Sus scrofa: one gene and its partners. The protein of the gene in region 1 purifies or fractionates together with the protein of each later gene. This does not show direct contact. Links are inferred from orthologs where the notes say so. Each region holds a gene or a part of one and is shown in the gene's direction. Other genes may lie near its edges.

The links.
Region 2: the proteins of FOXJ1 (region 1) and CDK20 purify together in Homo sapiens (affinity purification with mass spectrometry; 3 studies listed by BioGRID and IntAct, counting the BioPlex papers as one, with this or other methods). This does not show direct contact. The link is inferred for Sus scrofa from reciprocal best matches to the Homo sapiens genes FOXJ1 and CDK20.
Region 3: the proteins of FOXJ1 (region 1) and TBC1D32 purify together in Homo sapiens (affinity purification with mass spectrometry; 3 studies listed by BioGRID and IntAct, counting the BioPlex papers as one, with this or other methods). This does not show direct contact. The link is inferred for Sus scrofa from reciprocal best matches to the Homo sapiens genes FOXJ1 and TBC1D32.
Region 4: the proteins of FOXJ1 (region 1) and FBXO11 purify together in Homo sapiens (affinity purification with mass spectrometry; 3 studies listed by BioGRID and IntAct, counting the BioPlex papers as one, with this or other methods). This does not show direct contact. The link is inferred for Sus scrofa from reciprocal best matches to the Homo sapiens genes FOXJ1 and FBXO11.
Region 5: the proteins of FOXJ1 (region 1) and RFX3 purify together in Homo sapiens (affinity purification with mass spectrometry; 3 studies listed by BioGRID and IntAct, counting the BioPlex papers as one, with this or other methods). This does not show direct contact. The link is inferred for Sus scrofa from reciprocal best matches to the Homo sapiens genes FOXJ1 and RFX3.

The regions. Positions count from the first base shown.
Region 1 is NC_010454.4:5,304,683-5,311,130, forward strand, and holds the start of FOXJ1 (forkhead box protein J1), read left to right. Parts: upstream 1-2,687; 5' UTR 2,688-2,829; intron 2,830-3,372; 5' UTR 3,373-3,534; coding exon 3,535-4,032; intron 4,033-5,642; coding exon 5,643-6,410; 3' UTR 6,411-6,448. UniProt on the Homo sapiens protein: Transcription factor specifically required for the formation of motile cilia. Acts by activating transcription of genes that mediate assembly of motile cilia, such as CFAP157.
Region 2 is NC_010456.5:20,558-27,163, reverse strand, and holds the start of CDK20 (cyclin-dependent kinase 20), read left to right. Parts: upstream 1-3,061; 5' UTR 3,062-3,390; coding exon of another isoform or gene 3,391-3,433; coding exon 3,434-3,465; intron 3,466-3,778; exon of another isoform or gene 3,779-3,819; coding exon 3,820-3,925; coding exon of another isoform or gene 3,926-3,933; intron 3,934-6,606. UniProt on the Homo sapiens protein: Required for high-level Shh responses in the developing neural tube.
Region 3 is NC_010443.5:41,055,714-41,062,110, forward strand, and holds the start of TBC1D32 (protein broad-minded), read left to right. Parts: upstream 1-2,078; 5' UTR 2,079-2,229; intron 2,230-2,391; 5' UTR 2,392-2,394; coding exon 2,395-2,549; intron 2,550-6,397.
Region 4 is NC_010445.4:92,764,692-92,770,573, forward strand, and holds part of FBXO11 (F-box only protein 11), read left to right. Parts: intron 1-1,680; coding exon 1,681-1,764; intron 1,765-1,843; coding exon 1,844-1,976; intron 1,977-2,973; coding exon 2,974-3,080; intron 3,081-3,164; coding exon 3,165-3,276; intron 3,277-3,355; coding exon 3,356-3,462; intron 3,463-3,542; coding exon 3,543-3,680; intron 3,681-5,882. UniProt on the Homo sapiens protein: Substrate recognition component of a SCF (SKP1-CUL1-F-box protein) E3 ubiquitin-protein ligase complex which mediates the ubiquitination and subsequent proteasomal degradation of target proteins, such as DTL/CDT2, BCL6, SNAI1 and PRDM1/BLIMP1.
Region 5 is NC_010443.5:218,565,996-218,571,877, forward strand, and holds part of RFX3 (transcription factor RFX3), read left to right. Parts: intron 1-3,072; coding exon 3,073-3,254; intron 3,255-5,882. UniProt on the Homo sapiens protein: Transcription factor required for ciliogenesis and islet cell differentiation during endocrine pancreas development. Essential for the differentiation of nodal monocilia and left-right asymmetry specification during embryogenesis.

The DNA.
Region 1 (6,448 bases):
CGGTGTCTGCCGGCCTTTGGAAGGGGCGGTGGTTTCACGCCAGGTGGGGAAGCCAAGTTGGATCCCAGAGTTTGTGAGGCTGAGCCCTAGGCCGTCTTAGTAGCTGGACTTGACGCCCTAGCAGAGCTTCCCAGGGTCCTTTCCAAGGCCTCAGAGAGCCCAGTGCCTGGCGGTCCCTCCGTGTGGCTTCTCTGCACCACCAGGCCGGCAGTGAGCCTTTCGCTGCCTTGTGGCTGCGGTTCACGTCCTGCCCTGAGGGGTGGCGAGGCCTGTTGTCCTGACAGACACTACATGAGCCAAGCTAAATCCAAGCTTCTGTCCTGAGTTCCCGTGTCCACCCTTTCTGAAATCCTGCAGCGGACTCTGCTGTTTCAGACCGCACTTTGTGTCTTTAGGTCTTTTTTTTTTTTTTTTTTTTTTTTGCTGCACCCATAGCACGCAGACGTTCCCGGCCCAAGGATCAAACCCATGCCACAGCAGTGACAATGCCGTGATCCTTGACCCACTAGGCCACCAGGGAACTCCTCGATGTCCTTTCCTTCCCAGATTGTTCCAGCCCCTTCCGTATTTAAGATTTGAGCAATAACCCTACTTCCTGATTTCCTTGAAGGCTGAGCCCCAGAAGCACCAGGGGACAGCGAGCTCCCTTAGCCTGGGTGGTGGCACACAGGCCTGCCGGGAGAGGAGGCAGGGCTCGCCGTGTGGTGTCACCTGAGATGAAGCAGATGCAGGTCAGCAGCAGCCACGGGGCCAGGAGCCCGAAGTCACTGCCTTCACCTCTTCTGGAGCGTCTGTCTGCTCCCACGAAGAGGCGCAGATTCCCCGAGGCCTCGGTTCCATAACCAAGACACACCGGGGTCAGAAGCGGCCTCTGGCTCCTCATCAGACGGCCCCTGCTCTCCCCTCCCCATCCCCACCTCTTCCCGTTTAGCTCCCTGGCAAGCAGAAAGGTCCCATCCAAAGGGGCTGGTCCTCAGCCTGATCAGGGAACAGGGCATCTGCCCCACCCACCATCTGGGGACAGTCATGTGTAGGCAGGTAACCCAGAGAGAACGCGACAGGGCCCGGCTTCTCATATGAGGGCACAGACTATGGGAGGCCTGGGGCTCCTGCCTGCCACGCTCAGGTCTGAGCTCACCTCCATGTGGGGTGGCGATCCCGGCCTCCTCGCAGAGCCCCTTTGCCTTCCCCTGCCAGCCCCTCCCACCGGAGGTCATGCCCTCACTGGGGCATCTCCTGGGCACAGACCCACACACTTTAGGCCAGCTCACCTGGGGAGGAGTTCGTGTCCTGCCCACCTCAGCATGCTGGTTGCTCCCTGCTCTAGGACCTGCACACCTAGTGTGTGTAAGTGTGTGTGGACTGGTGTGCCGTCTCCGTACCCCACACTCCCTGGAGTAGGCTCCTGGGCGCGCTAGAGTGGGGACGTCAAGGATGCAATATGTATGGATTGCTGCATGATTCTTAACAACGAATAAAGCTGTTTACAAGGGAAGGAGAGCTGTTAACTGTGCAGCTGGCTTGTGAAAGTTTCTGTCCAACTTCCTCCAGCACTTTTTAATGTTTTCACTCAGGAGAAGCTGGGGTGGGGGGGCGGCAAGGAGGAGGGAAAGACGTTTTGGGGTGGGAGTTGAGGTACCATTCCCTGGGCACAGCTCCTGCTCAGAGGGCGGATAAGGAGCCCCCACCCCGCCCCCACCCCGTCTTTAAACCCGAGAACTTCCAACACTGCAGCTTGTCAATAATTGAAGAGCAGGAAAGCTGGTGACTGGAGGGAGGCTTGGGGAAGGGGAAGGGGGGGGAGGGCCACAGTCCTCTGTTAGTCCCTGTCACATAAAGGCGGGTAAAATTAACGGGGCAAAGGATCTCGGTAGGAGAGTTAGGCAAGTTCATGACTTTTCTGAGTTTCACCCGCCACCTCTGATTCCTGGGCTATCTGGAAAGGAGGGGGAGCATTTCCGAAGAAGCCTCTGGAACGTCAGCTTCCAGGCATCTTGCTGAGAACAGGGCAGAGAGTGGGGGCTTACCGGGAAACACTGGATTACCCTACCCGCACTGGGGTGACTGCGACCGGTGCTGGGGTTCTGCAGACCTGAGCAGCAGGTGGCATCGGAGAGTCAGACCTGCCTGCGGGCACCAAGAAGACGCTCAGTGTCAGGAGTGAGTGACGGGCCGCAGAAACGCGAGGAAGTGCCACTCGCAGCCCAGAGGAGAGGAAAACCCCAAGCACATGGTTCCCGAGCCTGAGCCGGCTCCCAGCTTTTGCCCCAGAGCCCGGGGCTGCTTCCCAGGAGCCGTCGTCGACACCTCGGAGCTGCTCAGACCGTAAGGGGTGGGGTGGGGTGGGGCGGGAGCGCGGGGCCCGCGACGAACCGCACGCCGAAGGGCCCGGGGCCTCGGCGGAAGCGCCGAGCCACGCGCCTCTCCGAGCCCTGCGCGGGTCCTCGGGCGGGAACGCACGGAGCCGGGACGCGGTGGCGGGTAGGGGGCTGGGTGGCGCGGGAGAGGGCGGCAGAAGGAGGGAGTTCGAAGAGAATTACCGCCAGAGAGAGTGGCAGGAGCCCGCGGTTTCCTTGGAGACACGCTGACCAATGGCAGCAGCGGAAGCTGTTTATGGGGGCGGAGCGTCGCCATGGCAGCAGTAGAAGCCTTCTGAGCGACTACTTAATACCGGTCCCGGGGCCGCTGGCGTTCAGAGAGGCGCCGTCGGGCGTGGGGGGGACGACGAGGGTTGCTGGCAGGGTCCTCGAGCTGGGGGCAGAGAGCCGCGGGGAGTGGCAGGACCTTCTTCCAGAACCTTCCTTTGGCCCGAGCTGCGCTCTGAGCCAGGTAAGGGACGGGGAGGGCTGCGGGCCGCGGGAAGAGAGGGCGTTGGTACAGGCCCGCTCTCCCATCCGTCCCCGACGGAAGTGTTGGGTCTGGGTAATGACAGCAGTGGAGTTTAGGGGACACTCACTTCCTACCCCTCTGTAACTCTTGGTCCTTGTCTCTTCCTTCCCCTTGAGCCTAATATTCCTTTTCAAAGATCAGACGACCTCCCCCGCCCCCCGCCTGGTCTCATACCGCCCTCCTGGGCTCTCTCGCCCTATTTCCACTTGTTGTGGAGGGAGGGGGGTTTAATTTCGCGCTCTCGGGGATTAGGGAATAGCCTTGGATGCCCCTACACTCTTCCCTCGTTAGGCTAATGAAGACTCCTCTAAAACATCAAAGAGGGAAAGAGACAGGTGGACCCTGTGGAGGTCGGGCCCCTGGGCACTGCTTCTGTTTCCCAGACCAGCTGCGGGATCGATTTTGGAGGCGCCTCCCGCCTCGCACGCACTCTCCCCTCCGGGGTGGGGGAAGAGGGCTCAGTTCCCGTTTTGGTCCCCGCAGACACCACATTCGACTCGGAGGAGGCGACCCCCGGGGTCGTGGGATGGAAGCGCGCTTCCGGGAGCCTGTGTAACTGGAGCCGCGGGAGTCAGCGGGCCGGAGAGCGCCACCCTCGGCTCAGCTCGTGGATGTTGACCGCCCCCTCAGAGAGTCCCCGCAGATATGGCGGAGAGCTGGCTACGCCTCTCGGGAGCAGGGGCTGCGGAGGAAGCCGGGCCGGAGGGCGGCCTAGAGGAGCCCGATGCCCTGGATGACAGCCTGACCAGCCTGCAGTGGCTGCAGGAATTCTCCATTCTCAACGCCAAGGCCCCCGCCCTGCCCTCTGGGGGCACCGACCCCCACGGCTACCACCAGGTGCCAGGCTCGGCCGCGCCGGGGTCTCCCCTGGCAGCCGACCCCGCCTGCCTGGGGCAGCCACACACGCCAGGCAAGCCCACGTCGTCGTGCACGTCCCGGAGCGCGCCCCCGGGGCTGCAGGCCCCGCCTCCCGACGACGTGGACTACGCCACCAACCCGCATGTGAAGCCGCCCTACTCCTATGCCACGCTCATCTGCATGGCCATGCAGGCCAGCAAGGCCACCAAGATCACCCTGTCGGCCATCTACAAGTGGATCACGGACAACTTCTGCTACTTCCGCCACGCTGATCCCACCTGGCAGGTAGGGGAGGCCCTCCCTCCCCCCCCCCCCCCCCCCCGTGCTCGTGCTCGCGCTTGCAAGGGCTGAACTCACATCCCAGATCCGCAGGCCAAGTAGGCGGGGTGCAGCCAGGGCCCGGAGGGAGAAAGGCCGTCGAGGAAAGACCTCCAGGGAGCCCAGTGCTTGGAACTGCCCCCTCTTTGACTTCAGAGAAGGAGGAGGGAGGGTGTTCCGAGGGCTTTAGGGGTGCCTGCCCTTGAGGTTCACGTGGAAGAACTTGTCACTCAACCAGCAGGCCCAGCCCAAAGACCAGGGATGAACTGTGGGTGGACAGGGGAGGCTGAGGGACTAAGGGGCACATTTTTGTCCCACGTCCTAGAATTCCTAGACACTACCCTGCCCAAGGCCAGTTTGTCAGAGGCCGACTGGGAGCGGAAGTCGGAGCATCATGCCTGCCAGGCGCTGCATCCTGCCTGGTTTCAGTTGGCTGGAGGGGACAGGAGGGGAGAGGGGTGTGCCGTGGGGTGTGAAGGCCAGCCGCGTCCCAGTGGAAGGGCGATGGGGCTTTCCTAAAGCCGCTGTCCCAGTCTCCCACCTAAACCCTCCCTGGTTTCCTGCCTCCACACCTCCCCCTCCTCTCATCAAACTCCCTGGGGGGACAATTACCTGAGCCAGGTGCTTTCCACAGGGGCTCTGCCTCCCGCACTGGCTTCATGTTCCAAGTCTCCGGAACCTGGCACAGAGCAGCCAAGGGGCCCAGGCCGCCATGTAAACATCCCAGCCTTGCCAGGGGCCGCCACCCACCTGCCGGCCCCGCTGACCAGGCCCCAGACCCCTGTGCCCCAGCATGGTTTGGACTGTGCCCCCAGGCGTGAGCAAGGCAGGATGGTGATTTGAGGCTGGGCACACGTTGCCCTGAGCCTCTTTGATCATCAGGATCGGGGCCCAGTCGGGGCGGGGGGGACCAGGACCCTGAAGAAGCATCGGCGACAGCATCATGGTTCCAAACGATTTCATGTTCGCTTGGGCCCTGACCCTGGGGCAGTACCATTTGTAACCTTGGTGAGAAAGTAGAGACACCCCCCCCTTCCCTCCCCCAAGCCTGAGAGGCCCCAGGAATGAGTGCTATGCTCTTGGCTGGGTAATAATCAACGGAGGCCTCTCCTAGCTGGGGGTGGGAGGAGGAGGACGTGGGGGGGGGTGAGGGCCCAGGCCAGCAGCCGGCTCTACAAACAAGGAAAGTCATCAGATCCCCCCCACACACACCCACTCACAGAGAAGGCCAGCCAGGCCCAGGCAGAGGGAGATGGCCGTCCAGGCCCTGGGGGAGCCGAGGCCTTTGGCCAGAGGCCTCGAGCGGCAGGGAAAGAGAGGGGAAGGCAGGACAGGGTGGCACGGAGAGCCACCCTGCGGCTCGGGGCTCGGATGACTGAGCAGGCGGATACCCTGGCAACAGGGAACAAAAGCCCCCGTGGCTGGTGTCCCAGAGCCTCCTGGTCCGAGCAGCGCCTCTGTCCCCCCTCTCCCATCAGCGAGAAGCTGGTGGGGGCCTGGCAGTAACACCAGGGCCCGCATCGCTGTCCCTGCGCACTCACCCTGCTGCCCTCATTCTCTCCTCGCTCCCTGTGCAGAATTCCATCCGCCACAACCTGTCTCTGAACAAGTGCTTCATCAAGGTGCCGCGGGAGAAGGATGAGCCGGGCAAGGGGGGCTTCTGGCGCATCGACCCCCAGTACGCCGAGCGCCTGCTGAGCGGGGCCTTCAAGAAGCGGCGGCTACCGCCAGTCCACATCCACCCGGCCTTTGCCCGCCAGGCCGCGCAGGAGCCTCGCGCCGCGCAGTGGGCCGGGCCGCTGACCGTGAACACCGAGGCCCAGCAGCTGCTGCGGGAGTTCGAGGAGGCCACCGGGGAGGCCGGCTGGGGTGCGGGCGAGGGCAGGCTGGGGCATAAGCGCAAACAGACGCTGCCCAAGCGGGTGGCCAAGGTCCCGCGGCCTTCCAGCACCCTGCTGCTGACCCAGGAGGAGCAGGGCGAGCTGGAACCCCTCAAAGGCAACTTCGACTGGGAGGCCATCTTCGACGCTGGTGCTCTGGGCGGGGAGCTGGGCACCCTGGAGGCCCTGGAGCTGAGCCCGCCGATGAGCCCCGCCTCGCACGGCGACGTGGACCTCACCGTCCACGGCCGCCACATCGACTGCCCGGCTCCCTGGGGGCCTCCGGCAGAGCAGGCTGCCGACAGCCTGGACTTCGACGAGACCTTCCTGGCCACGTCCTTCCTGCAGCACCCCTGGGACGAGAGCGGCAGTGGCTGCCTGCCCCCGGAGCCCCTCTTTGAGGCCGGGGATGCCACCCTGGCCGCCGACCTGCATGAGTGGGCCAGCGTGGGTGCCTTCTTGTAAGCAGGCAGGCCCGCCCCCACCTCCGGACAGTGCCCGAG
Region 2 (6,606 bases), on another chromosome or scaffold:
TAACCCACTGAGGTAGGCCAGGGATTGAACCCGAAACCTCATGGTTCTTAGTCAGATTCGTTTCCGCTGTGCCACGATGGGAACTCCTCACACAGCTTCTTGAATCTGCAGATTATGCTTTTCCTCAAATTTGTGAAGCTTTCAGCTTTTTGTCAGCCCTGATCTCGTCCTCCTCTCCTAAATATTAGATATACTGTTGTTGTCCTACCAGCCCTTCAGATTCTGTTTCTTTCTTTAAAGTTTAATTGTGGGAAAGAACACATATAAAATTTACCATCTGAACCATTTCCAAGTATTCAGTTCAGTAGTGTGAAGTGTATTTACAGTGTTGTGCAACCAATATCCAGAACTTTTCATTTTGTAAAACTGAAACCCTATACCCATTAAATGGCATCCCATTTCCTCCTCTCCTTAGCCCCAGCAACCATCAGTTAACTTCTCTCAATATGAATTTGACTTCTCTACACACCTTATATAAGTGAAATCACACGCTTTTTTTTTTTTTTTTTTTTTGTGACTGGCTTGTTTCAGTTAGCATAATATCCTAAAGGTTCATTCATACTGTAGCACGTGTCAGACTTTTCTTCCTTTTTAAGAATGAATAGGGAGTTCCCTTTGTGGCTCAGTGGTAACAAACCTGACAAGTATCCACGAGAACTCAAGTTTGATCCCTGGCCTTGATCAGTGGGTTAGTACCAGCATTGCTGGGAGCTGTGGCATAGGCCAGCAGTGCAGCTCTGATTCGACGCCTAGTCTGGGAACTTCCAGATGCCACAGGTCTTTTGCCTAAAAAGACAAGACAAACAAACAAAAAAACAAAGACCAAAACAACCCACCAAGCATAATGAGTAATATTCCACTGCATGGATATACTGCATTTTTTTAGTCATTTATCTGTCTGTGGACACTTGCGTTGCTTCCTTATTCTGCCTGTTGTGAACAGTGCGATTATGAATGTGGATGTGCAAATATCTCTTCAAGACCCTGCTGTTAATTCTTTTGGAAATTTCTCATTGTGGAGCAGCAGAAACAAATCTGATTAGTATCCATGAGGATGCAGGTTTGATCCCTGGCCTTGCTCAGTGGGTCCAGGATCCAGCATTGCCATGAGCTTCGGTATAGGTCACAGATGCGGCTTGAGTCCCTTGTTGCTGTGGCTGTGGCCAGCAGCTGTAGCTTTATTTCGACCCCTAGCCTGGGAACTTCCACATGCTGCAGGTGAGGCCCTAAAAAAAAAAAAAAAAGAAGAATTAATAAATTTTACAGTTCACATTTCAAAGACTACAAAGAGGTCCAGTGAAAAGTTGGCCTCCTATTCTGTCCCCAATCCTTCTAGCCCCTCCACCAGGTAACCACAATCATGAAATCTCGAGTATTTTTTCCAGACATATTATGATGCATAAACAAGTATTATTTATATTGTTTTTTTTTTACACAGCTAGTGGCACTCTATGCTCTATTTTTCATCTTGCCTTTTTTTTTTTGGCTGTGCGTACAGCATATGGAGCTTCCCTGGCCAGGGATCAAATCCACGCCACAGCAACAACCTAATCCACTGCAGTGACAACGCCTGATCCTAACACACTGTGTCACAAAAGAACTCCTCATCTTACCTTTTTTAACTTAATAATATATCTTAGACATCTTTCTATTACTATACATTAAAGAGCATCCTTGGGGAGTTCCTGTTCTTGCTCAGCAGTAACAAACCCGACTAGTACCCATGAGGACTCAGGTTTGATCCCTGGCCTGGTTCAGTGGGTCAAGGGTCCAGTGTTGCTGTGACTGTGGCATAGGGAACTTCCACATGACGTGGCTGCAGTCCTACAAAAAAAAAAAAAAAAAGCACGCCTGTTCTTTTTTGAGGTAGTATGGTTTTCTATTTGATAGGTGTATCAAAATTTAGACAGTCTCTTATGGATGGACATCTATGGTGCTTCCAATCTTTTGCTATTTAAACTATGATTCAATGAATAACTTTGCCATGTCAATTTTTTTTTTTTGTCCTTTTCTGGGGTCACTCCCACAGCATATGGAGGTTCCCAGGCTAGGGGTCAAGTCGGAACGGTAGCCACCAGCCTACACCAGAGTCACAGCAACTCGGGATCCAAGCCGCGTCTGCGACCTACACCACAGCTCACTGGCAATGCTGGATCCTCAACCCACTGAGCAAGGCCAGGGATCGAACCTGCAACCTCATGGTTCCTAGTCGGATTGGTTAGCCACTGTGCCACGACAGGAACTCCTGCTATGTCATTTAATACATGTGCAATGTGTTAGGTGGGGGAATTTCTCAAAGTGACCTTGCTTGGTCTAAGGGGATATGCATTTATAATTTGATCAGCATTGCCAAATCACACTCCCATCAGCAATATATGAACGCTCCTATATATATATTTCCACAGCATGGCCAATGCATTGTTAGATATTGAACCAATGATAGGTGGAAAATTGTAGATTATTTTGCATTTACCTTATTGTGTATGAGACTGAGCACTTTCTCAGAAGTTTAAAAGCTACTTGTATATTTTGTCAACATCCTTGGTACATACTTCCTAAAAATCACTCAGCTGCAAATTCCTCCAAATGTTTCCTCAGGAGAAGCCCTCAGACATGGACTTTCTGGGTCAGAATTTGCATTTTTAAAAATCTTTCTCCACAAATTGCCTGTTGATCCTCCTGCCAGGACACAGACCCGAGACATCTCCCTTCAGTCACCATCGGCTCTGTGTCTCATAGGTGGGAAATGACACCTCTATGTTCTCAGAGGTGGCGGCTGGCACCTCTAAGCCTGCTCAGGGAGGGGGAGGGGCAGGCCCCGCCAGGCACCCACTCCCCCCGCCGGGCACCCCCCCACCCCCTACCCCATCGCCTTCAGCCCCGCCCCCGTCGCCTTCAGCCCCTCCCCCGTCACCTTCAGCCCCTCCCGGTTACCTTCAGCCCCGCGCCAGCTCCCCGCCCCGCCCGCTGAGCAGCTCCACCCTCCCGCCTACGCAGCCCCGCCCCACCTGCGCCCAGCCTTGCCCCGGGGCTGCAGGGCCCCGCCCCGTGCGTGCTCTGGCGTCACTCGTCATGTGATGCCCGCGCAGGGTTGAGAAGGGGTGACGGTGACCGTTGCTGCGGTTGGCCGTGTCTGCACTCGTGTGACTGACTCCCCTTGAGTGAAGCGCCCTGAGCCGTGATGGCGAGCGCCTAGGGGAAGGCGCAGACGAGCCCAGGGCCGCCTTCCCTGGCTGCGCTGGCCTCCCGGTCCCGGAGCGCGTGCCCGCGCCGTTGCTAGGCAGCCGCCTCTGGGCGCAGAGGGCGGGGCAGGCTTCCGCGGAAGGGTCCGGTTGCTTGTGCACGGGAGAGGTTGTTACTTTGGAGCGTAATAGTGCCAGGCAGAGGGCCATGGAGCAGTACTGCATCTTGGGCCGCATAGGGGAGGGCGCTCATGGCATCGTCTTCAAGGCCAAGCACGTGGAGGTGAGCACCCAGTCCTTCCTTCGGTTCCTTTGAGATCTACCCTATGTTCCCACCCACGCATGGGCCATTGCTCCTGCCTCCCCTCAGCTTTTTGTGGCGTCCGCCTATCTCTTGCCCCCTTGGCGGGGTGGGGTGCGGCCAGCTGTCAGCGGTGCTTTTAGATGGCGAGTGTTCCCTGTGAGCTGGTGTGGTTTTCTCTGAGCTGTTTTCCCAGCGCTGCGACTCCTGGCCCTGATATCCCTCCAGAATGGGGTAGGGGGTGCGTTCCACTCTCACGAGGGCCTCAAGCCTCGCATCCCATTCCTTTTCCCAGCCCGGGATGGGGTAGCAGTGTCTGCGTCCTGTCCCAAACAGACTGGAGAGATCGTGGCCCTCAAGAAGGTGGCCCTACGGCGGCTGGAGGATGGCATCCCCAACCAGGCCCTGCGGGAGATCAAGGCCCTGCAGGAGATTGAGGACAGTCAGTATGTGAGTAGGGCTGGTGCCCTGTGCTGGGGTTCCTGCCCTTATCCACTCACTTCCACCCTGGGGACTTGCTGTCATCTGCTTCCTCACCCCTCACTACTCCCTTTCCTGTCCACTTGTTCACCCTTATTCCCTCCCAGTTATTTCATTCCTCACTCACTCCCTCTCTGTTCACCCACTTATTTCTTTGTGTACTTATTTATTCACTAACATCCCTTTTTGCTCAAAACTTTTAATGATTTTTAATGATAGTGATAATTGCCACCTACTGAGCTCCCATTGTGTTCTCCAGGCTGGATTAACAGCTTTATGTACATTGTCATTCTTTTTTTTTGGTCTTTTTCGGGCCACGCCCACAGCATATGGCGGTTCTCAGGCTAGGGGTCTAATCAGAGCTGTAGCTGCCGGCCTACCACAGCCACAGCAACAGCAACGTGGGATCTGAGCCCTGTCTGTGATCTACACCACAGCTCACAGCAACACCGGATCCTTAACCCACTGAATGAGGCCAGGGATCTAACCTGCAACCTCATGGATCCTAGTCAGATTCGTTTCCACTGAGCCATGATGGGAACTCCACATTGTCCTTCTGAGTTTTCTCCTCTGATTGGGGAATCAGTACATTTTAACTTTGGGGCCCCCATAGGCTCTGCCCTCTGCTGGGCACTGGTGACGAACACTGACCCTGACCCTGACCTGGCTCTCGAGACAGGACAGAGGCTGCAAGACCCTCCTGGCCTCGTTTGTGCTGTGATGGGCCCTGGAGGGGCTGTGGGTACAGGAGGAGAGACCGCACCCGCCCAGCCTCATTCTCTCTGTGCACTTCTCTCTTGACTGTGTCCGGAGTAGAGAATGTGTGTAATTTCCTGGGGAATGCCAGGGGCAGGTCCACCCACCCAACAGTGGGTGATACTCTGGCTTGCTTCTTATCCTCTGGAGATGTTCGTGCTATATCAGTGCCAAAACCATATTATACAACTGCATGTGTCATCCTGGTTTTGTGCGAAAGTATTTTGTATACGCCTGTGCATATATGTCTGTATGTGCCATGTCTGTTGCTAAGTCTGGTGGAATATACTTGTGAGGTTGACAGTAGGTGATAGGATTTTTCTTTTGCGATTTTTTTTGCTTATGAGTTTGTGTATTATCTGAATGTTATGTGTTTGTCTCAATCTGTAAAGTGATTGTCTCCTACTCTCAAAATCAGAAAAGCAGTAATATGGCCCTTCTCTCTCTCTCTTTTTTTTTTTTTTTCCCTTCTGCTTTTTAGGGCTGCACCCGCAGCATATGGAGGTTCCCAGGCTAAGGGTCTAATCAGAGCTACAGCTGCCAGCCTACACCACAGCCACAGCAATGCCAGATCCAAGCCTCTTCTGTGAGCTACACCACAGCTCATGGCAACACCGGATCCTTAACCCACTGAGTGAGGCCAGGGATCAAACCTGCAACCTCATGGTTCCTAGTCAGATTTGTTAACCACTGAGCCATGATGGGAACTCCCCCCTTCTCATTTTTTGAGGAAGGAAAAAGGACTTGGCGGCAGCTTGTGCGTGGGAGAGGTGGAGGGCCCATGGGGTCCCGTGTCCTGTGCATCAGCAGGCCTGAAGTTCTATCTTTAAAACACTCCAGATATCATTCTAGCCTTGCCCAGGCCATCTTCACCTCTCATCAGAATGACTTTGCCCCCCAAACCCCCTCCCTGACCCCACTCTACAGTCAAAACGTGTAGTTGAAGTTATCCACTCTCTGGCTTGAAAAGCCCCAGTGGCTTCTTTTCACTCCAAAAGAATTGTCACTGTCCGCTGTCACCCACCTCTAGTCTCTCTCTTTTTTTTTTTTAATTTTTTTAATTTTTAATTTTTTATTTTTTTTATTTTTATTTTTTGTCTTTTTGCCTTTTCTAGGGCCACACCTGGGGCATATGGAGGTTCCCAGGCTAGGGGTCGAATTGGAGCTACAGCTGCTGGCCTATGCCAGAGCCACAGCAACGCGGGATCCGAGCATCATCTGCGACCTACATCACAGCTCATGGCAGTGCCGGATCCTTAACCCACTGAGCAAGGCCAGGGATCGAACCCACAACCTATGGTTCCTAGTCGGATTCCTTTCCCTTGCGCCAGGGCAGAAACTCTTCCAGTCTCTTTTTCTCTTCATTCAACACTTAAGTTTCTCTTGCCTGACAAGTACGTCTAGGCTCCAGGAGTACAGAGCAGCCTCCTTCCTGTTCTCGCCTTGGAGCCTTGTGCTCACTGTCCCCCTGCCCAGAACTCCTTCCCAGATCCCTGCATAAGTGAGCCCAGCCCATCTCTTCTGTCTTCATCAGAACCTTCATCAAGATACCCAATAGATTTGTTCTTATGCCTGTCAGTCATTTGTCCCCCGAACTCCTTAAAGCCCATCAGGACCCCCTCGCTCTTGCTCCTGCTCACTGCTGTGCAGCCTGGCCCTTGTGACCTGTGGGCCCTCAGGAAGTATATGTGACATATCTCCTGCTGTCCCAGCGCTGGGAGATGTGACCACCAGTGCCTTCTCTTGGTTCTGGGAGTTAATGGCTGTAGAAGAAAGAGGAGGAGACCTGTGTGTGTGTGTGTGTGTGTGTGTGTGTGTGTGTTTCCAGGTGATTTTCCAGTTCGTAGGCTGGGTGGGGGACCAGACACTGCCCTAAGTGGATTTTCT
Region 3 (6,397 bases), on another chromosome or scaffold:
CCACAGCTCACGGCAACACCTGATCCTTAACCCACTGAACGATGCCAGGGATTGAACTCCCAACCTCATGGTTCCTAGTCAGATTTGTTAACCACTGAGCCATGACAGGAACTCCTTACTTGACTTTTCTTCAAACTGGGGCTTTTTGTTTTTCTCTCCGTATATCTTTTTCTCTCCATTTTTAGAATTTAAGTTCTCTAATTTCTAATCTTTTAATGGTTACATCTGAAATTCCACCATGCCTACCCAACAAAGTTTAATATCTTAAACACCCTTTAGAAAAATTCAAGGATTACAGAATACTTCAACTTATCATTACAATTCCTGCTTACCCAGGGTTGTTTACAGAATTTAAGTACTATGCATTTTTACCTTCATAAATTAGAATATAATTACTTCTATATACATATAGTGTTTATTGAGATTTACTTAAACACATTATTCCTTCTCCCCCTTTTTGCCTAACTTTCCTTCTTGACTATCAGGTTTTCTTTTAAGTTTTTTCCTTCTTCCTAAGAGATATCCTTTAGAATAGTGGTTTTCAATTTGTGCAGTTCAAATATCCTCTCCACTGCTCCCCTAAAAGCATTTTAGAAATACATCATTTTGTCATCACCACGATTTGATGGCATTTACTGGTATGTGCAATGTGAGTTAGGGATGCTGAGCTTCTTGAAATACACAGGATACTCTCCCACATAAAAGAGGTTGCTCTGGTTCCTACATGACTTTCAATGGTCCTCCTTGACATTCATGCAGATGAAAAATCTGTTGATAAGTATCTGAGTCTAGGAACTAATTCCATTTATATAAAAATAATATTTGGCACAGTTTTAATACAATGAATTTTACAGGAATGCAAAAACAATGTAAATAAAGAGTATATATTATTTCATTCTGAATTTTACCATTAATAGTTTACCTTTTCAAAAAAATCGCTTTGCTAATAGCTATATTAATCCTGGTGTCTGAGTTGCCAATATAACTAATGTGTTATATTGTCTGAAAATGTAGTTGCCATGAGCTGGTCACATGCCACATGCTGTCACATGCTGGTGGTTGTCACATGTATACACATACACATATTGGGTTTTATAGCTTTGACCACAAAAAGTACAAGTATGCCTACTCTGTAAGTATGTTTTTTTCTTAATGTGGTAGTGAGACAATCAAAATTAAGCACACATTTCATCAAGAAATACGCTGCTAGAGCTGGCATAGCTGTATCATACTTTTGCTCCTGGAAGTAATAGCTTAGACTTCAAAGGAGGCTTTGATCCTGGTTAACATGTAAAGTGAATCCAGGTGTTATTGGACCAGCAGTGTAAAATATAAAGCGGGATACATGAGAACTTATTGACATTCAACCACTGATTTGTTTTGGGATTGACTGTTCTATAGACACCAGGATCTTGTAGGTTGTTGAACATGACCGTGGTCTGGGGATTTAGCTAGAATGGAAACTGGACAAGGGACCATGATTCGCCACTGCAACTTCCGGCAGAGTGATCTTTATATATGATATCTAATGGCGTAACTCTGCTATCCCATTATGTCCTACAACTTTCGAGATAAATCGCTAATCACTTAAAAGTGCCAAATATGATCTTTTCCAATGTGGTCTATTTACTTCACTAGACTCTTCTTTTTTCTTCTTACAAATTCCAGTACGGAATATGCTTCACTCTCTCAGCTTTCTAACCTTTGCATGTCTAGCTTGTTTTCTCTTTACCTCTTTCCTTGAGTCTTCTATTGGGTTAAAAGGTAATTACGGGTTTCCACAGCACCTACCTGGCGCATTTCTCTAGCATAACATTTACTTGCTCTGTGTTGTAATCGCTGACTTCTTGTCTATTAGGTTGTGAGAGCGTCGTCCTCTTTACACTCCCTAGCAAGGTGCTTGGTAAAGGGTAGGAGTTAACAGACGTAACCCTTTTCTCTCTGAACTCCCTTTTCCCCTCCTACCTAAAACCATTTCAGCAGGCGTACCTAAAACTTTCTCTAGGAGCTCCCGTAATGTAGTCGAGAGGCACTCCCTCCCACCTAGGAAGTCACGTCAACGTACTGACGTCACCCGTAGCGCTGACGTCCGCCGTCAGGTCCACCCGTAAAGCCTTTGGGATATTTTTTGCAGTTAGTAGGGGCAGCTTGAACTCCGTTGGTAGAGCAGGCCGGCAACAACGACTTCCAAAGGCGGGACCTCGCGGACTTTCGCTTCGTCAAAGCAAGGTAACTTGTTTTCCCCAACGATGCTCCAGCAGCGCAGGCCCACCCCCAAGCCCGCGGTCTCCCGGGGAACGGCGCTGAGCGCAAGCAGGGGGCTGGGTGGGGGCGCGCATGCGCAGGGCACAGAGGTCCTCGGACCCTCATAGCTGTGGTTGATATTGACAGAGGATGGCTCATTTCTCCGGTGAGGACCAAGCGATGCTGCAGGCGATGCTGAGGCAGCTGTTCCACAGCGTGAAGGAGAAAATCACAGGAGCTCCGTCCCTGGAGTGCGCCGAGGAGATCCTCTTACATCTGGAGGAAACTGATGAAAATTTTCACAAGTAAAATTGGTTTTGATGTCTTAAGCAAACGAAACAGCTGATTCAGAAAAGGTTCAAATGCAGTTAATGAAGGTTCATGTGATTACTGACAAAAGAGCGCCCAAGTTGAAGGTTCATGTTTTCGTTTGTTTCCCCAAATGCCGAATTTATTTTTTATTCTTTTTCTGTTTTCCAAAGCTTCGGCCTCTTCTTTGTTTTTACTGACGCAACCAACATATCCTAATTATTTTTTTTTCTCCCAGACACCGTTAATTGTAAAGGAACATTAATTGTAAAGTATTCCCGTTCATTTAAGATTAATTCTATTATCTCAAGGGTTTTCTGTCACTACACCTAAAAACCCTGAGTTCCCAATATCCCTGTTCTTTTGCTGATTTTACATTTCAGTGACTGCAACAGTTATCCATTCTGAGCCCTGCAGGAATACTGGAGTGGGATTGTTAACTCCCCATAGACTAGCCTAAATTTCTACAAAGGGATTAATTAAGGTGTATTACTCAAATGTCTGTGATACATGTCAGAAATATAAATGCCCATAGAAGTTTAGAGTGGTCTGGGTTTGGGAGCAGGAGAAATAGGAAGTTTAATGAGAGGCACCATTTGAGGTAAATCTTAAAGCATATGTTTCTTTAGATACCTTTGTTTTTTTATTTGATTCATATATATAATTTATATTAAGCCTCTCCATTGAAAAGTTTGCCTCCAGGTGCCTCAGTTTATTATTAGCAGCAGTGATTTTTTTGTCTTTTCAGAGCCGCATTCGCGGCATATGGAAGTTCCTAGGCTAGGGATTGAATCTGAGCTGTTGCTGCGGGTCTACCCTCAGTGAGGCCGTGGATGGAACAGGAAACCAACCTCAAGGTTCCTAGTTGGATTCATTTCTGCTGCTCCAAGAGGGAAACTCCAGTAGCAGGGATATTTTTAATTGATGGTTTGCCTTTTATTTTGAACTCTCAGAAGATGACGTTTAACTTTTTTGTGTGTGTTATTTTTACTGGCATTTGGGTGCCCTGAAGTACTTATCTGTAACTCCTACAGGTTTCATATGTGGGCACCAGGGGGTCCGTGAGCCCTTTAATAGTCTTTGCAAAAGTTTGTGTTTACTTGGAGTTTTATGGGGGGAGGATTTCCAATTTTCACCAGATTCTCCAGGGAGTTTTAAAAAGTGTGGAAGGAATTCTTGTTAATATAGAGTTTCTAATTTAATTAGCGTCCCTGGTTATACATATGGTTTCTTTTGTGTTTTCCAGATTTTCTTGTTTATTTCTTCATTAAGTCCATTACTAATAGCTGATATTACACAATTACATTTTTTTATTTTGGAGGTACCAGAGACCAGCTTTTATTGGTTAGCTTTTGGTTTATTTCTTAACAGTGGGACATAGAAAAACTGCAACTTTCTCAAATTCAGGTTTGGTCATTAGTATTTTGTATACTGACTTGATACCAATTTACTCACACAAATCCCTGTCAAGCATTAGATTTGGGATTTCATTTCACATGCAAATACTTATTTAAAATATTTGTGAATTATTGGTTTTTTTGCTAGGATCGTATTCTGGGAATTTGTTTAATATAGTCTTTCAAATTTATTTAAATAAAGTTTTTTTAAAATTAATATCCTATTACTTTAAAAATATTTCTAGTATCTATAGCTGTCCCTTTCTTCATTCTTGTTTTTCAGTTTTGCCCCCTCTTTTGTTTTTGATCTGTTCTGCTAGAGGTTTGTCAATTTTACTAGTCTTTTCAAAGAACTTGCTGTTAGCTTTGATTTTCCTCTCTATTATGATTTTCCTATTATGTATTTTTATGGTTTTTTAAAAAAATTATACTCTTCTTTCTTCTCTTCTTGAGAAACTTTTTAAACTTTTGTGATGAATGTTTAGGTCATTAATTTGCAACTTTTCTTAGTTTTTAATGTAAACATTTAAGGATACGCATTTGCCTGTATTGCTTTATCTTTGTCAATTTAAAAAAAAAAAAGTGCTTTTCAGGGAGTTCCTGTTGTGGCTCAGTGGGTTATGAATCTGACTAGTGTCCATGAGGATGTGGGTTTGATCCCTGGCCTTGCTCAGTGGGTTATGGATCCGACTTTGCCATGAGCCATGGTGTAGGTCACAGACAAGGCTCAGATTCCGAGTTGCTGTGGCATAGGCTGGCAGCTGCAGCTCTGATTTGGAAGCGCTGGGAACTTTAGGTGTGGCCCTAAAAACCGAAAAAAAAAAAAAATTCTCTTCAAGTTAAAGTTGGGTCATTCTGGTTCCTCTCAGTGCTCTAATGACTATTGTAATGATATAATTTACTCTTCAACAGTTCATTAGATTAAATACCTGCTGATTAACTTGCATATTAATGTTTACCATTGGAGGTTTACTTGTGGCCGACCTAAAAGAAAATCCAGGCCCATTGAAATTACAACAAGTTTATAGTTTTATAAGATTTATAATCCTAAAAATGTTTGAATAGTTGGTAGTCTTAGAAGTATAGATAGTAAAATTCATATATTAGCTGCACTAGCCTTAGATCTCTGCCTTAGGAGGAAGAAACTCCTTATGAAAGAGGAAAGAGGAGGAAATGCTTGTGCTTGGTATTTTCATAGTATTTAGAATCTCAGAGTTTGATGAGATCCTAATTGTCATTTGATGCATATGCTCATATTTTCATTTTTCTCCCTATTCACTGACCTAACTCTCCTTCAAGAGCAAATGTTCTTGAGTCACTTAGGTATATGTTGCTTCTCAAAATGTTTCATATGTCAGAATTATCTGTCATCCCATCTCCTCAATCAGAACATTGGTTCATTCAGTTCACCTGATGTTGTCATGGTATATTAGCAAGAAAAGGAATCTTACTAAACCGATTTATAAGGGAAACTGATATCTCTAAGTTACTGGAATTTTTGTAAGAAGATGGTTGTTAAGACAATTGAGTCCACGAATGATGGAGTTTCAGGTAGTGTAATAAAGTGGGAGGAAAATGTAGTCATTTGGGGAGAAACCATTGTGTACATAGTACAGTCCTATCTGGGTTTTTGCCCTATAGTGCAGCTGCCCTAGACTATTTCTGCTTCCATAGCTGCTTTTGTATTTTTACCTTAAACTATACAGTTCCTTTAAAAGATCCAAACTGTCTCTTATCTTTGAAAGTAGCAGTGAAGGGAGTTTCCATCGTGGCACAGCGGAAACAAATCCGACTAGGAACCGTGAGCTTGTGGGTTCGATCCCTGGCCTCATTCAGTGGGTTAAGGATCCAGTGTTGCCATGAGCTGTGGTGCAGATTGCAGACGGCTTGGATCTGACATTGCTGTGGCATAGGCCAGCGGCTACAGCTCCGATTAGACCCCTAGCCTGGGAACCTCCATATGCAGCCGGTGAGGCCCTAAAAAGACAAAAAAAAAAAAAAAAAAAAAAAAAAAGCAGCGAAGACCTGAAGCCATTTCTCTCTCACACATGGCTTGCATTACTTTACCTGTCTACTCCTTAACATCTGTAATTCCTGAGGTAAGTATAGGACCTTTTTTCAAAGTCTGTTTTAGGCATCCAGGGATTTTATTTTATACATCACAAGAATATAGCTATAATTTTGAGTGATTTCTAAAAATCATGCAATAGGTTGATTTAAAAATCTGTAGTTATGATCTTTTGGATTAGTTGTAGACTTTGTAAGAGCATGTGGATGGCATGATACCATCAGGATTACAACGAAGGCAACACAGTACATAATTTTATACAAGTATTTCTCCCAGCCCATAGCAACAATAATTGTCTGTCCTGGGACATCATTATAGAAGAACAGCATTACTTCAAGGATTTCATGGGGTATTGCCATGAATTCAGATGGTAAAAGAA
Region 4 (5,882 bases), on another chromosome or scaffold:
AGGCCTATGCCATAGCAATGCAGAATCCGAGCCATGTCTGCAACCTGCACCACAGCTTACAGCAACACCAGATCCCTGACCCACTGAGTAACACCAGCGATCGAACCTGCATCCTCATGGATACTAGTTAAGATTTGCTTCCATTGTGCCGCAACGGGAACTCCCTATATTCAATATTTTTAAATAAAAACTCCTTTTTTTCTTTTTTGCTTTTTAGGGCCGCACCCACGGCATATAGAGGTTCCCAGGCTAGGGGTCTAATTGGAGCTACAGCTGCCGGCCTACACCATGGCCACAGCAATGCCAGATCCAAGCCGTGTCTGCGACTCACACCACAGCTCACAGCATTGCCCAATCCTTAACCCACTGAGCAAGGCCATGGATCGAACCCGCAACCTCATGGTTCCTAGTCGGATTTGTTTCTACTGAGCTGCGGCAGGAACTCCTAAAAATTCCTTTTTTATTTTTATTTTTTGTCTTTTTAGGGCCACACCCACAGCATATGGAGGTTCCCAGGCTAGGTTTTGAATAGGAGCTGTGCCCACCTATGCCACAGCCACAGCAGCACGTGATCTAAGCCACATCTGTACCCTACACCACAGCTCACGGCAACACTGAATTCCCAACCCACTGAGTGAGGCCAGGGATCAAACTGCATTCTCATGGGTGCTGGTCAGGTTTGTTTCCACTGTGCTACAGTAGGAACTCCCTGTATTAGTTATTTTTAAATAAAAATTCCTTTTTTAGGAATTCCCGTCCTGGCGCAGCAGAAATGAATCCAACTAGGAACAGACATGGCTCAGATCTGGTGTTGCTATGGCTCCAGCGTAGGCTGGCGGCTACAGCTCCAGTTAGACCCCTAGCCTGGGAACCTCCATGTGTCGCGGGTGCGGCCCTAAAAAAAAAAATTCTGTCTTTAAAATATAAACTCAAGAATAGGTTTTAGAGTTCCCTGGTGGCTCAACAAGTTAGGAATCTGTCATAATTGCTGCTGTGGCTCGAGTTTGATCCTTGGCCCAGGAACTAGTGCGTGTTGCAGGCACAGCCAAAAACAAAAAACAAAAAGAATAGGTTTCAAGCCAATGGACGTTTATCAACAAACAGAAGATTCAACAATTCATTTCACTACTGAGTATTTATTAATAATTTAAACAGTAGCAATAAGATCAGTTGCCTAAGAGTAGTTATTACTTTCCATGGATCAATTTGAACTTATATTTAAATTACTAGTGTTGAGTAGTTATTTAAAGTTTCACAACTTAATTTTCATATGGTCCTTTATGAATGGTTCTCAACTTGGGGGTGCTTTTGCTCCACCGGGGATGTTTGGCAGTGTGCAGAGACACTTTGGGTTGTCACAGCTGGAGAAGAGACTGCTACTGCTATCTAGTTAACAGAGTCCAGGGATGCCTCTGTTAACTACAGTGCACGAGAGAGCCCCAACAAAGAATTATCTGTCCCAAAATATCACTAGTGCTGAGGTTGACAAATTTTGTCCTGCTATGGGATATTACAAGTCATAAGCTATTTCATATTTTACATTGCAGTATGCAACAGAAAATTAATTGAACCAATAATTGTTTTTGATAATTAATAAAAAAGACCATACAGTACTAAAATAACTTGGACTATAGTGTTTATATTAGTAGTCAGTGTTTTTGTTTGTGTTTGATGTTTTAGTATAAAGGTGCACATGTAAAGCCAGGATTTGCTGAACATTTCTACAGTAACCCTGCAAGATATAAAGGAAGAGAAAATATGTTGGTATGTTTGATTTGTATTTTTCAGAGATTTAAAATGGTGACCTTACAGTTCTATACTGACACTTTTTTTTTTTTTTAAGTATTATGATACAATTGAAGATGCCCTTGGTGGCGTACAAGAAGCTCATTTTGATGGACTTATCTTTGTTCATTCTGGAATATATACTGATGAATGGATATATATTGAATCTCCAATCACCATGATTGGTGCAGGTATTTTGAAATGCATTGTCATTAAGATTTTAACATTTTACTTACATGATGGGTTTTTTAAATGCTTAGGTGACTTAATATCCAGATGAACGTTGATAATACCTTAATCGTAGCAAAAAAATAGGAAATATCATATTTATTTTATATGATGGAAATGAAAACTTCAAAGTTCAGAAATTGTAATTGTACCTATTTCTTTTTTTAGATGTATATATTCCTTGATGTTGTTATTCCCTTTGTCCAACTGCTTTAGTTGTTCGTTAAGGAGAGAAAAATATTTTATTTGTTAATTTTGTCTTTTTGGGGAGGATAATTTTGTCTTTTATTAATACAGATACTGATATTTTTATTACTGTGTTTTTAATGAAACAAATGTACTTTTAAAATACTTGGTATATTGATTCAAAGCTGTTTTTATGTTCAGGTTTCTGAGTATAAATGTAGTGTTTGTTGAACACTGATAAGTTATTTGAAGATTTATGCTATCTTTGGCATTTTTTTAAGGATACAGTAGTACACAGACCATTTTATTAGAAGTATTATTACTCATGCATTTGAATGTAATGGTACTCAAAAACACCTATGTTAAGTATGACTGCCTGTATGAAGGCCAATGAAATATAGTTATCTATCTGGTAAAATGAATATTAATCCTATCTACTCAATACTAAGATTCTTTAAAAGTTCCCTCATTAGGAGTTCCCTGGTAGCTTGCAGGTGGAGGATCCAGTCAATGTTTTTATGGCTGTGGCTCCAGTCACTGCCATGGTATGGGTTTGATCTTTGGCTCAGGAACTTCTGTACGTCACAGGTGTGGCTGAAAAAGGAAAAAAAGTTTTCTTTGCAAAAAAAAGTCCTCAATTTAAAAACAGTAAAAAGACTTCTACTGAATTATTAGTTTCATGGCAGAGTACTTCTGCTCTTTAAAGAAGTATTTTTAAATTTCCATTTCATCTGTCTCATAAAGGTAATGTGCTTTTAAATATTTTCTTCACAGCACCTGGAAAAGTAGCAGACAAAGTTATAATTGAAAACACTAGAGATTCAACCTTCGTATTTATGGAAGGTTCTGAGGATGCTTATGTTGGATATATGACAATAAGGGTAAGAAATTAAAATTTTTAAGTATATGTATGTAAATCATTAAGGCATTGCTTGTTTAATTCACACAAAATTTCTACTTTTCAGTTTAACCCTGATGACAAATCTGCTCAACACCACAATGCACACCACTGCTTAGAGATTACAGTAAATTGTAGCCCTATTATTGATCACTGTATCATCCGAAGTACTTGTACAGGTTAGTGTTCCTCTTACGTTTTATTATAAAATGAGTCACTGTCACCTGGTGGGTTTCTAGTTAATTCTTTGTCTTACAGTTGGCTCTGCAGTATGTGTTAGTGGTCAAGGAGCGTGTCCCACTATCAAGCACTGTAACATCAGTGACTGTGAAAATGTTGGACTTTATATAACAGATCATGCACAGGTATTTTTCAGTTTTGTCTTTTTTCTTTGCTAATTTTTTTTTTAGCACTACTAATGTTTGTTTGTGGTTGATTGTTGTAGGGAATATATGAGGATAATGAAATTTCCAATAATGCTTTAGCTGGGATTTGGGTTAAAAATCATGGAAACCCGATCATTAGAAGAAATCATATTCATCATGGACGTGATGTTGGTGTCTTCACATTTGATCATGGCATGGTAAGAGCATTTCTTCTTAATAGAAAAAGTGACTCATGTCAGTTAAATTTCAAATAGGCTTCAGCATTTTTTTCATCACCAAACTGTATGAATTGAAGAATATAGGTTTTAAAAAGATTTCAGAAGTTTCCATCGTGGCTCAGTGGTTAACAAATTCGACTAGTATCTGTGAGGATTCGGGTTCGAGCCCTGGTCTCAATGGGTTAAGGACCCAGTGTTGCTGTGAGCTGCGGCTGGGCTCGGATCCTGCGTTGCTATGTCCACGGCGTAGGACAATGGTTATAGCTCCGATTCGACCCCTAGGGAACCTCCATATGCCACCAGTTCAGCCCTAAAAAGCCAAAAGAAACAAAAAAAGAAAACAAAAAGATTTCAGTATAATATTTTTAAATCAGTATGTAATATCGATTCTCTGAATTCATGAATCTAACATTACATACATGTAGAGAAAGTGGAATCCTTAGGGAATTAATGTGATCTCTGAGGGGAGTAAGTTCTAATCCAGTAGCTCTCAAATGTAAATATGCATAAAAACCACCCAGAATATAGTAAATCAGAATTTTTAAGGATGGGGCTCAGGATATGCCCGTTTTTTTTTTTTTTTTTTTTTGGGCCCCACCCATGGCATATGGAAGTTTCTGGGCCGGGGATCAAACCCGTGCCTCAGCAGAGACAATACCAGATCCTTAACCCCCTGTGCCACAGCAGCAACTCCAGGATATGCATTTTTAATAAACACCATAGGTGAGTTTAATGTAGGTTGTCTGTAGACTACCCTTTGAGAAGCAGTAGTTCACCATTTGATTTCCATTTTCTTCCTCTTAATTTTTTTTTTTAAACTGGTAGAACTTTTTTTTTTTTTTGTCTTGTCTTTTTAGGGCCGCACCTGCGGCATATGGAGGTTCCCAGACTTAGGGGTCCATTCGGAGCTGTTGCTGCCAGCCTATGCCAGGGCCACAGCAACACAGATCCAAGCCGCATTTGCAACCTACACCACAGCTCACAGCAACGCCAGATCTTTAACCCACTGAGCAAGGCCAGGGATCAAACCTGCAACCTCATGGTTCCTAGTCAGATTCGTTTCCGCTGTGCCATGATGGGAACTCCAACTGGTAGAACTTTAGTAAGAAATACAATGATGATAATATATTGATTCTAAAACTGTTATGTAGCAGGTAATTAGGCATCTTTATGGATCATACTGTGTTTTAGATACTACCAGGTCATTTTCCACAGTTTTTAGAGATAAGACCTTTTGAGCTCTCTTAGGCCGCTATTTCAAAATAATGTTCTTGGGTGCCTAGTTAGGTATTCTTTTCATTTAACGTCTGATTTTTGTTGAAGTATTTTTTAAGTGCTAGTACAGCATTGACAACACTTTTTGTTAAGGAATTAGATAGGATAGGAGATGGTGACAGGGCATGGTGATGTTTTGTTGCTATTATATGATCATTAACCGGCAATTTAGCAGTGTCAGATATCATATACAGATTGTAGATTTGTGGACATTCCCTTATGGCGCAGCAGGTTGGGCATCCAGCATTACTGTAGCTGTGGCACAGATCGAAAATATGGCATGGGTTTGACCTCTGGCCTAGAAACTTCCATATGCACTGGGTGTACCCCTCCTCCCCCCAAAAAAATCCCATTGTTAGTTTGCTAAGGACATTTTTCATTTTTATTGTTTGTGCCTAAAACCTTAATGTAGAACTCTTTTTCAAAACTGAACTAGACCATGAAGAGTAAGTACCCTTTTATCAAATTCTGATTAGACTTAAAACTTAAATAGCTTCAGACCACCTGATTCATTATATTCTTGGGGTAGCTGTAACCTGGGAAAAACAGTTCACCTAAAACTCAAGGTATATATAGTTGGGGCCTTTGGATGAGAAAGCACAGTGGTGATGATCACTTGCTTCCCCAGCTAGAATTTAAAACCTGACATTATCTTGTGAATTTTAGCTCTTTTTACAAAGGAGTGGGTAGGGGAGTTTCGGGAATTAGGGTATCTGGGCAAAAGTGTGGAGGCTCTCCAAACCTAAGAGTCTTAAGAAGCTCTCTTCCCTTAGAGTCTCGTATTGGCTGTAGTTTTTTTTTTTTTTTTTTTAGGGATGCACCCGCGATATATGAAAGTTCCCAGGTCAAATTGGAGCTGCAGCTGCTGGTCTGCACTACAGCCACAGCCACCTGGGAATCTGAGCT
Region 5 (5,882 bases), on another chromosome or scaffold:
ATCAGCTCTATTTTTATTATTTGTATACTTTGGGCTGTAAAGCTCACATTATAAAATTGACTATTTTTGTATTTCTGACAAAAAGTTCTTTAAATTAATACTTCTTATATAGATACACGTTCTTTTCGTTTGCAAAGGAAAAAAATTTGACTTTTCATTGATTTTTATTTTTTATTGAATAATCATACCATTTTGGGTTTGATAATATGCATCATCATGTGAGGATGCATAAATACACATACAAACATATCTGATATTTTTAACTCTTGGCATTGTGTCTTCCACATTTGTGAACATGGGCACGTCATTAGTTCAGTTTCAAAATACTACTATTTCTCAAAAAATACTTACAGTTTTTATATGTTTGTGCTTTTTTGGTGTTTCCTTTATATTCCTTGATGTCAAGGAATTAAATTCCTCAAAGAATATTTCTTTCTATATTCTGTGTCTCAGTTTTCTTTATTTCTATATTCTTTATATATTTAAAATACCAAAGGAACAGTCTCTCTAGAAATGTGTACACAAAACAAGAGCCAACACACTAGGGCTGCCCTAACACCATTCATGTGAGGAAACCATGCTTTCAGATTCCAGTAATCTTACTGAGGCACGTGGATGAAATATGTGAGGCAGATTTGATTTGTCACGTTTTATGTGCTGTCTCTGTCAGTTGTATTCATAATCAACAAAGCCTTTAAATTTAAAAAGGAACACTAAAGAGACACACTAACCCAAGCGTTGGAGGCAGGATACTAGTTTGAGTCTTGATAGCTGATTTCCCAATCAGTTTACAGCCTCTCTTTACACTAAATGAATATTTATGCATCAGCTTATTCTGTGTGTCCTGTAGAATACTCAGAGATCATGTATAAATGCCTTTGGAAAACTTGTTTACTCTCAGTAAGATTACAGGTGATTCATATCAAAAAAAAACCTCTTTTTGATCTGTAATTTTTTGACCGTTATAAAAATGAATGTTTATTTTGTGTGATCTTTAAGAAATTGTATAGGGGAAGGTTGTATATGTTACAGAGGCAATAGGTATATTTAAAACTGTTATTCATGTGCATATGTGTTCATGGAGAACTTCAAGGCTTACTGATCAGAACATGAATTTATTTTTATTTTTAAAAGTATTTTGCTCAGTCTTGTAGGTTTGGTGGTCACATTTTATAAGCAAACATCAGTATGGGTTTAATGACACATGTTCCACTGTATAAATATCATGTAGGAGTATTTGAAATTGAAATGGTTCTAGAAAATTCAGGGAGCTATATCTAGTCACTTATGATGGAGCATGATAATGTGAGAAAAAGGAATGTGTATGTGTGACTGGGTCACCTTGCTGTCAGTAGAAAATTGACAGAACACTGTAAACCAACTATAATGGAAAAAAATAAAAATCATTAAATAAAAATTAAAAAACAGTAAAAAAAGAAAATTCAGTCATCATGGTTAAAGGAAATGATTACGAGGATATTTTTAATGGATTTTCCTATTTAGAGTCTGAAAGCATAGGTTCTGAGTTTGATCACAAATTTTTAAATATGTAAGCAGAATGGAAAAATGCTTTCATTTCCTCTAGTGTCCATGTGTCATTTTTGGTATGTGAGTGTAAATTCCTAGAGGGCCAGGGTGAGTTACATTCATTATTACGTCTGTTGGTACCCAGCATAATGCCTGGCTGATACTTTATGCTCAATAAAGGAATTCTTTGGCTTCTATAACTTATTTTTAACTCAAATTACATATGGAATATCAGCTTCTCATCATACCTCTATCTGGCATGGGGATTTGGTTGAGACAGGTAATGTGACATATATGTGGCTTTTGTAGGAATAATAACTGGTATGCATGTAATCAGGAAAATGTGTTAGAAACCAGATCAAGCACTGAGAAAGTATATGTCTGCCCTTAAGAAAGTCATTTAAACCTATTTCCATTCTCCTTTTTTAAATAGTGAGCAGATTGATAATTTGATTTTACTAATATTGAAACTCAGTAATGTATACCTAGATTAGAACTTCTAAAAATTTCTTGTACATTCTATACCTTAAAGATTATTTTAAAAAAATACACACAGAAGGAGTACCCATTGTGGCACAGTGGGTTAAGAATCAAACTGCAGCAGCTCGGGTCACTGCATAGGTGCAAGTTTGAACTCTGGTCCAGCACAGTGGGTTAAAAGATCCAACATTATCAAAGCTGTGGCCTGCATAGATCACAGCTGCGGCTTGTATTTAATCCCTTGCCTGGGAATTTCTACATTCTGCCATGTGGCCATTAAAAAAAAAAAAAAATCAGGATAACATAAAACTCTAAAATGTGAACTATAGACTGAGAAAACGTTGCTTTACCAACTACGACTGTAGTGTGCCTTCCAAATTTATGAAAAAACATAGCTTGGAGGTAGAAAAACTCAAATGATTGTAATAAATGATTCTTTTTCATTACACATAGTTTTTTTTAAATCAGCGCCTAGCAAATTTCTTTCTTTCTAGGGAAGAAAAGATTAAAACTTTTCCTTACTTCTTTCAGATTTTGTCCCAGTAGATAATACCACTATTGTATTATCTTGTGTAAGTAAATTAGAATTCTATAAAAATGACTAGAACCTTAATATAAGGACTTATAACAAGATAGCCTGCTATTCATGTTGTAGCAAACCAACACTGAAGACCTATTATGTGCCATGCTGCCAGGCTTAGTAACATGTTTTTTTCTGTAGCAATTATAAATTACATTTATAACCAGTTAATGGGATTATATGAATTCCTTGAAGAGGTATTTGTCTCCAAAATAGCAATCAGTACAAGGAAAATTAGCATGTCTCCATATGTGCTTGAATGTTTGAAGGAATGACATGGTCTGAGGTCAATAGATGATGTTCAGCTACTTAGGCTTCTGGGTTTTCAAAGTCAGTTTACACGAGCCTCTGAATTACAACAGTTTACCTATTACAAGGCTTGAGGAAGATCTTCTAAGTATTTCTGTGTATTGTAGTTGCAGTGTCTTATAGACATTTTGGTGAATTATACGGTTTCTCTGTTTACCCTGTCTTATTTATATTAGCTCCAGTGGCTGTTGGACAATTACGAGACAGCAGAAGGAGTGAGCCTTCCCAGAAGCACTCTATACAACCACTACCTACGACACTGTCAGGAACACAAACTGGACCCAGTCAATGCTGCTTCTTTTGGAAAACTAATAAGGTCAATTTTTATGGGGCTACGAACCAGGAGATTGGGAACTAGGTTAGTACTAAAAAAAAATAAGATCATAAACTAATCTCTCTTTTTTAAACTATAGCAGTTCAGTGTATTGTTTGTGTAAAAGTACTTGATTATAGACTATACACATACACACACATATAAAATAAATAGTCATAAAATCCCCCAGGGAAAGAAGAGGTCATTATTCACTGAAAACTACCCATCCAGAGTGATGCAGTATCCTCAACATCAACAGAACAAAAACTGATTCTCAAATCACATAGAAATAAACAGACCAAACTATGTTTGTTTGTTTTTTTTGTTTGTTTTGTTTTGTTTTTTGTCTTTTTAGGGCCACACCTGAAGCATGTGTAGGTTCCCACGCTAGGGGGTCAAATCGGAGCTGTAGCCTGGCCTTCGCCAGAGCCACAGCAACGCAGGATCTGAGCCGAGTCTGCAACCTACACCACAGCTCACAGCAACGCCAGATCCTTAACCTACTGCAAGGCCAGGGATCGAACCCTCAACTTCGTTGTTCCTAGTCAGATTCGTTAACCACTGAGCCATGGCGGGAACTCCCAACAGACCAAATTATTAATGGAAGACTTATATGTGATGCTTTAAAAATTAGTATCTATTACTGTCTTCCTTTTGGAAAATAACCATACTAAAGATGATGAGTAAAGTGACATAGTAAATGGAAAGGTACATAACTCTTGACTTGTAAAATTACGTTGAAATGTTTTTATAAATAACTATTCTATATGAATAGAGTAAGAAATTAAAGCTGAGTTTTTCATTTCACTTCTGGAGACCAATTAAAAGTCATTTGGTGGACTTCCAAATTTTGAATGTTTGAAGCCCTCAATTAAAGATATATGTTCCTATTTAGCCTCTTATTAGCCTTTTTTTAAACTCTCAATTGTGAAGCCATACATGTATGGGAATAAAAATATAGTATAGTTCTGTTGCAGGGAAACCAATAATGTGAGGAAGACTCTTAGTTTTTTTGTTTCCTTTGTTTGGAAAAGACATGGGTGTTTTAACCAGTCGAAATGTGATGAAAATAGTACTGAGAACTATAGAGCTTTATTTTTGCCTTTTTATGATTTTTGCAAATTATCATAACAAATATTTTAAGTAGCTGAGAACAATATATATGTTTTTTATTTCCTAAATCTTATAAAATCCATACTTAAAAGTATAAAAATAAAGATGCTTTGCTGTATGTAACAGATATATATCTTTAATGAGCTATAAGTCACAGCTTCAGAGTATTCTAGTAAAGGGTTTTTAATATTCTTAATAAAATAAACAGAGCCTCAGCAACTGACTTCATTATAAATTTACACTAAAAAAGGGACTGTGTCAGTTTTATGAGAATTACAAGGTCTGTATGTATTCAGTGTGAATTATTCCTTTCTGTTGCATTTTAAGTGATTGTACAGCTTTCAGATTGCTGGAGGTTCAGTTCTCTCATAAATATATTTTCTTCTATCTATACTTCAAAGATAGTATATTTTAAACAGGAGAATATGATGTTTATTCAGAGCAAAGGAACCATCTTCCATCCCCTTGAACCCCTGCTCCCCCCACCCCACCATGAAAATCATTATTTGGGGACCTAACCTACTATCTCCTAGTTGATGGCTCATTAGTTGTGCATACCCTGCCAGTATTTTGAATCCCTGGGCTTTATTCAACATTCTAATAGCTGTATTGTTGTGCCTCTTTTGTTACTGAAAGGGATTTCAATGGATCCTATTTTGAGGCTCCATTCAAACCTTGAAACACATCTTTAAAATAGAAAGGGACAAAATTGGGGTTGTTTGGGTTTGTGAATGAGTAGAATCCATACTCTCTGCTCCATAAGTACATATTGCAATATTGCAGCTTTTTACTTTCTGATGTTCTTTTCTTCCCCCTCTCACTGTGTAACAATTGTGTCTTCTCTTTCTTTTAAAATTATATGTCGTGTTTGTAATTAGAAATGGAAAGCAAAGTCTAGAGGGATAAGGAGAAAAGAAATCCTTTGGGGAAAGTTGAAACAAATGCTGTGCTATGAAGATAGCAGAACTCTAATGTAGAAAAACTGACGATGGTAGGGGTGAAGCGCTAGAGATTTTTTCTACCATGCAAACTGTTTTGGCATTCACTTTCTACTCCTAATCCAGGAAACGGAAGGAGAATCAGTCTAAATCCTGTACAAATTGGACATATTTTTTCTAAGCAAACTGTATGAAGAATTGTTATTTAGCCATCAATGAAATTATTGAGTGAATTCATTCAAACCAGAACCAGACCTTTCTCAAGTTTCTGGAGCTAAGTACAAGTTAAGTCAAGTCACCATGTTTCTAAACGAAGACAAACTAAAGTTACCTTCTACTCAACCATCTTGAATATACTTATTCCAAAAGGTGCCTTTTTTTAAAATCCCATCTTCAAATTAAGTTTAAACAAAGAAGACCGTGGAAATGGTTATCTCCTTCAACCATCTTCAGTGAAATAGAAATAACCACCTCTCCACCAGCCCACCCAAAATGCAGATTTGTAGAAAAGTGAAGAAAAAACAGAAACTTCACAGATTTGGGGATCTCACAAGAGAGATGGCATTTTGCTTTGCAGCTTTGTCATTTCCTGCTCCCTCCTGTTCTCCAGTTTGAACGGGAG